2 linked regions of the Saccharomyces cerevisiae S288C genome follow. Changing the gene in region 2 together with the main gene of any one other region gives a genetic interaction. Each region holds a gene or a part of one and is shown on either strand. Other genes may lie near its edges. The genes, in order: TAM41 and PIS1.

The links.
Region 1: of PIS1 (region 2) and TAM41, extra expression of one is lethal in a mutant of the other (dosage lethality), as found in Saccharomyces cerevisiae (one study listed by BioGRID).

What each region holds. Positions count from the first base shown.
Region 1 is NC_001139.9:583,024-586,552, reverse strand, and holds TAM41 (putative phosphatidate cytidylyltransferase), read right to left. Parts: upstream 1,659-3,529; coding exon 501-1,658; downstream 1-500. Other genes in the region: transcription factor TFIIIC subunit TFC4, read left to right, coding at 1-161; YGR045C (uncharacterized protein), read left to right, coding at 2,257-2,619; RME1 (Rme1p), read left to right, coding at 2,661-3,529. UniProt on the Saccharomyces cerevisiae protein: Catalyzes the formation of CDP-diacylglycerol (CDP-DAG) from phosphatidic acid (PA) in the mitochondrial inner membrane.
Region 2 is NC_001148.4:750,184-753,419, forward strand, and holds PIS1 (CDP-diacylglycerol--inositol 3-phosphatidyltransferase), read left to right. Parts: upstream 1-2,073; coding exon 2,074-2,736; downstream 2,737-3,236. Other genes in the region: RNA-binding ribosome biosynthesis protein MRD1, read right to left, coding at 1-1,736; ALE2 (Ale2p), read left to right, coding at 3,118-3,236. UniProt on the Saccharomyces cerevisiae protein: Catalyzes the synthesis of phosphatidylinositol (PtdIns).

The sequences.
Region 1 (3,529 bases), on a different chromosome or scaffold from region 2:
GTCTGGTATCGATTGCAATTGAGTACTATAATAGAGTTCTAGAAAACTACGATGATGGAAAGTTGAAAAAACATGCTGCCTATAACAGTATTATAATATATCAGCAAAGCGGAAATGTTGAGTTGGCCGACCACCTCATGGAGAAGTATTTAAGTATTTGAGAACTTGTTTAAATATTTTAAACTATAAAGTATAATTGTAATATAACCCTTAATAATAGAAATATATAGAAATACCCCTTCAAATGCTACAATGTGTTCGTAAGTACGACATCCATTGCATATACTGGAACGTATGATCCCCCTTCCATAATGCAAGTAAGTCAGTTTGAATGCCAATATGGGATAATGTATATTATCTAGAAGAAGGTAAAAATAAAGATGAATAAATATTGACCGACGCCAGAGATTTGGAATGTGAATAGAGCGATTCTTCGAAAGAGATGAAAGGACGATAAAACATTTTTGATAAAAGATAATGTGTAGATAACATTGGATACACTAGCTTCTCCTCATCGATTTTAGTTTTTTGGCCCAAGCATACTTAATTGACTTTGTGATTCCAGCTGTGAAAACACCTTTAATAGTTTGTAATGCACTTGATTTACTAATACGGCTGAGCAAAAGTCTCTGAGTATTCTTTAATGTGAACCCTTTTGGAAGATAAAATGAATCATTTAGGACCACTTCTTTGTAAATCGGCTTGTAATACTCTTGAAATCTTTCAAAGTTTTTGGTAACAATGTTGTTAACTTTGTCGGGATTTTCTCCACCCAGTTTGTATCTAATATCACCTGCATAACTTAAGGCAGTGATCTCCTTGTAAAATTGGAATTCGTCAAACTTATTGTTATTTTTCTCTAAGGTGTAATGTTTGGCCAAAGTAGCTGCAGCTTTTAAGTTTAATTGGTTCCAATATTGCACTCTCAAATCATTCTTCAATATTTTTACAGGCTTTTGTAGTCGTCCTGCTAAATAGAATGTATTCCAAGTAGCTATGTCCTTTAAAAGTGTTTCCATAGAAACCACCCCATATTTTACGTCGTGTCCATTTATATTTGCAAATGGATTAAAATATACGCCTGCGCCGATCTGTTGAAATTTAGACACGAACTCGGAACCGAAGTATTTCAAACTTGAATAATGTTGCGGATTCTGCCTCATATTAATAGAGTGAAAATGTGATGGATATGTGACGCCCAAGATTATATCGATTTGAGGTTTGCTATGACTTTTGGAATATCCCGCTTGTTCGAAAACTCCTGAGCCGTAACCAAATACAAACCGGCACGGAGCTTTGAAGGATGACATTACCCCATCCAGTTCCTTTTGAAGTTCCTTATCGATAGTAATGAGCTGGTTACTTCCATAGTTGGGGGGCAATCTGTGAAACTTGTACATATAATTTGTAAAATTGGAAGTCATTTCGTCAGTTTTTCTTATACCTTTTTCCAAGAGGTCCAGATCACTGCCTTTAGTAATTCCCTCGATGTAGTGATTCGGCCTTTCGTTAATAGTTCCATCGGGGATAATGCCAGCATCATCTATGGAACTTCTCCCCTCCTTTATTTGAGTACTCAGAAGCCTATTAAACATGCTTACGTTCGTTGAATGGCATTTCAGCAGAAACCGTAGACCATTTTCAGAAACTCGTAACATAACTTCAGGATATATCAAAGTAAAAAGCAGCTCCTATTAATTCAAATTATTAGCTCAATCCTATAGCAACGTTTCTCAAGTTTAATTGTTTTGAAGGTTTTAGAACCTTTTTCACATTATTTAGTCCGTCGAAACATCTACTCTTTACTATTTATGGCTAAACAGGCTGAAGGGTATGATTTCTTTTCTTTTCTTTATTCATGTCGGGTAAGAGAAGGTCACTTGACCTATGATGTGGGGGCAAATAATAACGTGGGAATAACAAGCGCGCTACTGGTAAGTGAAAAACTAAGATAACAGTTGAATTTCGTGTTTAGATGCTATAGAGAGTCTGGTACAGCATTGGCGATTTAAGACTTCTCTAGTCCACATTTCTTAAATTCAAAATCACAAGCGCCTGTTAACGATCATTTTATAATCTACGATGTGTAAATGCAAAAAGTGCTTTCCTCCCTCTTTAGTTTGGACAGGGATAGTGGGTAAACGAGTAGCATTATGAGTGCATACATTGCCAGAAAGAAACCGCAAAGCGGCATATCTTTTTTCTTCTTTCTGTTGTAAGGGATGCTTCGTCACGTAAAATGGCCGCCGGAGTGAGATGTCACAGATTACATCAAAAGGTCGGCGTATACTGGATAAGAAAATCCGAACTTTTCCGGTGGGCTTTACCAGCAGAAAAGTGGCCGGGCATGTATTAAATATATCACCGTATTTTCTGCTGGCTTTTTCTTATGCAGAGAACAAAGGCCAGAGTGCCTTCGAGGAAATTAAAGGGAGCAATGTGATAGATATGTCCTGTGTCATTTGCTTCAATTTTTCCTGCCATTTATTTGTAGTTATATTTATATCTAGATCAACCGAAACTATACCAACGACGAAGCTGCTTCTTAGTAAATATATTTTCTACTGTGTCAACGCATTGGAACTGACATTGTTCTTATCCTATAAGTCATACAGTTGAATTTGTTAATTCTTTACTAGAAGTTGGGATTTTCAGCACTTATGTCACCGTGTTATGGACAAAACAGTGCCATCGCCAAGGGGTCTTGGAACAGAGAGGTTTTACAAGAGGTGCAACCGATTTATCATTGGCACGATTTCGGGCAAAACATGAAAGAATATTCGGCATCACCCTTAGAGGGGGATTCCAGCCTGCCTTCCAGCCTGCCTTCCAGCACTGAGGACTGTTTACTACTATCATTAGAAAACACAATCACAGTTATAGCCGGAAATCAGAGACAGGCTTATGACTCTACGTCGTCTACTGAGGAAGGTACAGCACCTCAATTACGGCCGGATGAAATAGCGGACAGTACACACTGTATCACGTCATTAGTTGATCCGGAGTTCAGAGATCTTATTAATTATGGACGTCAAAAAGGAGCAAATCCTGTATTTATTGAGAGCAATACAACAGAACAATCCCATTCACAGTGTATTCTAGGCTATCCCCAAAAATCGCACGTGGCACAGCTATATCACGACCCCAAAGTACTCAGCACAATTTCCGAAGGGCAAACAAAAAGAGGAAGTTACCACTGTTCTCATTGTTCTGAAAAGTTCGCAACGTTAGTTGAGTTTGCCGCGCACTTAGACGAATTCAACCTTGAAAGACCGTGTAAGTGTCCCATAGAGCAATGTCCCTGGAAAATATTGGGTTTCCAACAAGCAACTGGTCTGAGAAGACATTGTGCTTCCCAACATATAGGAGAGCTTGATATAGAGATGGAGAAATCATTAAATCTAAAAGTAGAAAAATATCCAGGACTGAATTGCCCATTTCCTATCTGTCAGAAAACGTTTAGGCGCAAAGACGCCTATAAGAGACATGTGGCCATGGTGCATAACAACGCTGATTCAAGATTTAACAA
Region 2 (3,236 bases):
GACGTTGTGTCCCTGAATTGCACTATAGCTATTGTACCAGCTGGTGGCATGAGCAATCTTTCCAATTTACCATATGGCAAAAACATTTCGCCAAGCTCTTCTCTAGTTGTCCCAAAAGGAAAATTTTTAACCAGTATCACTTTATCGTCTCTTTGATTTGTAGATTTTAACTGTGAAAACTTGGTCAGATCAACACCTTTGGATTCAAAGTATTTTCTAACATCACCAATAACATGGGCTTCAGCCAAAGCTTGTTTGACAGCCGAACTTGAGTTTTCAGCATCGATCAATTGAGATTTTTCTAGACCCAATTTGGCTGCCACACTACCCAAAACAGCATCTTGGTTCATATACAAGGAGTTCCAAGAAAATGTTTGTCTGGATGCAGCTGCCTTCCTTTTCAATTCCTTTTGCTTTTTCAATGGCATATTCTTTAAATCAAACTCATCTAATCTATGGCTTTTTTTTTCTTCACCAGGAAGAATATGCAATAGTCTTCCTTGAAAAATCTGTTTATCCAATTCAACATAGGCGTTCACTGCATTCTTAGAATCCTTAAATAGAACGTATGCAAATCCTTTGGATTGACCAGTCCTGGTATCCAAAGCCACATGAACCTCCTCTAACTCTCCAAATGGACTAAATAGTTTCCTGAAATCTTCTTCTTTGGAGGTATACAAGATATTACGTAAGAATAAACGGCCAGTTTGGTTAATTTTTTCAATAGCCAGTTCTTCGTCCGTCTTTTGCGGCACAGCACGTTCTGGTTGTTCTTCCTTCTTGGTATCGAGACTTTCATTTTGTTCAGTAGCGTATGATGATGATTTTTCCCTTGTTTCCGCTTCACTTTCTTTGATTCTTACACGGCGTTGTTTGAACCAATCTAGGTCAGAAACCTTTTCATCTTGGGCGAGGTTTCTCCTCTTTTCATTCTCTTTTTCATCACTATTAGCGTCATCATTAACTAAACCTATATCAGTATCCTTCAAATTGCTAATACTTATCATCTTTTCTTCCTCTCCGGCATCTTCTTGATCTTCATCCCTGTTTCTGTTGAGAGCCGAATATTCATCGTCACTTTCATTCTCAATGACCAAATTTGGTGCTTCGTCTTTATTATTCTCTTCCTTTAAGGCTAATGCATGAGCCAATAGAGAATTCCCTTGCACGCTGGAGTCCTCTTCTTCCCGTTTTAGTTTTTCGTCCTCTATGCTCTTGTCAATGCCAACTTTTTCCCATGATGTGACTTGTGAGCTTGGCTTCATAGTCTCCATGAACTCTTGTAATTGCTTGTTCTTGCGAATCTCGTCATCAATGTTGCTGTGCTTATTTTCATCCACTTTCTTTTTCTTTCGATTTTCTTCTTGTAGCAATTTTTCTTCCTTTTCCCTAAACCTTTTCAGAGCTTCTCTTCTCTTCTCCTTCATGGGCTGCGGGACTCTTGGGTCTGCAAAGCTTTTAGCCATGGACACTTCTATCTTAGAAGTGTTGATAAAACTGCCATTGAAATACTCTACAGCATCAAAAGCGTCTTCCTCGTTACGGTATCCGATAAATCCAAATCTTCTACTTTCTCCGTTCCTATCTCTAAGAATTTTAACATCTGTTATGAGGTCTGGACCACTACCATTAACTGCTTGATGGGAATGTTTTTGACGTAATCTTTTTGTAAAATGCTCCCTGAGATTATCATCTGTTAGATAGACGGGCAAACCCTTGACAATGATACGGGACATGTTAGTTATGTTATCTTGTGCTTGAGGCTCAAATTAAATCTCAGTTCAGGTTGCAGTCTTTGCATATGAAGTACCGATGAGATGAGATGAGATGAGCTCTAAATTTCCATAAAATTTTTTCATTTTATAAAATTCACGTCGCTCCGCACGTAAATCCCTATTACGGAAATTATTTCTCAATAGGGAAAGCCCCTCCTATTGTTTTTTCCGTCTCGAGGATTTTTCACTTTTAGTATATAAGTAAAACATAAAAAACATGAGAGGTGGTATGGTTTATTTGCCGTCACTGTGGAGCCTTCAAGTAATGTAAATAAGAGGGAAAGTGTGATAGTACAAGATGAGTTCGAATTCAACACCAGAAAAGGTTACTGCAGAACACGTTCTGTGGTATATTCCCAATAAGATCGGTTATGTTCGTGTTATCACCGCCGCCCTTTCTTTTTTCGTTATGAAGAATCATCCTACGGCCTTTACATGGTTGTATAGTACATCATGTCTACTGGATGCGCTAGACGGAACCATGGCAAGAAAGTACAATCAGGTTTCCAGTCTGGGTGCCGTTCTGGACATGGTTACCGACAGATCCAGTACCGCTGGCTTGATGTGTTTCCTTTGTGTGCAGTATCCCCAATGGTGCGTTTTCTTCCAATTAATGCTGGGCTTGGATATTACTAGTCACTACATGCATATGTATGCCAGTTTAAGTGCTGGTAAGACTTCTCATAAAAGTGTGGGCGAGGGTGAGTCCAGATTGTTACACCTGTACTACACGAGAAGAGACGTACTGTTCACTATCTGTGCGTTTAACGAACTATTTTATGCTGGATTGTACTTGCAGTTGTTCTCAAATTCTGCAACCTTTGGTAAATGGACTACAATCATAAGTTTCCCTGGTTACGTGTTCAAGCAGACCGCAAACGTTGTCCAGCTAAAAAGGGCAGCCTTGATTTTAGCAGACAACGATGCCAAGAATGCCAACGAGAAGAACAAGACTTACTGATAGGATGAGTTTCTTACTTTTTTTCTCCTTTTAATTGCGCTAATCTTTTATTTATGTGTAGTTTTTATTTATGTGAAATGGAACATTCGTTGATTTAACTTTAAAAGCAGCCTACTCTATCGTCTTGATTATACTTGGCACAACAAATGCTCAAATAAACGAAAAATTTCATATTGTTGGTACTTTTTCTCAACGCGGTTTTTTTCCTGTTTTTTTCGAGCAGTTCCCGAGGGCATATTTAACATAAGCCAAGGAGAGAGAAAAAACGTTTGTTGGACAGATCAAAAAGAAAAAGAAGAAGACCTCTCCTCTATCTCAAGCTTCTGCCCCCCCCCCCGGAAGGAATTCAAGCACGAAGGTGAACATTGCCTACAAGAAAAAATGGATGTTTTATTGTCGCTTCCTCAACCGGAATTATTTAAGACCACGGTGATTCCGTTCTTGGCAAATCGCAATATAATCAAGTCGGAAGCGATTCTCTCCAACTTGCACTCAATTTT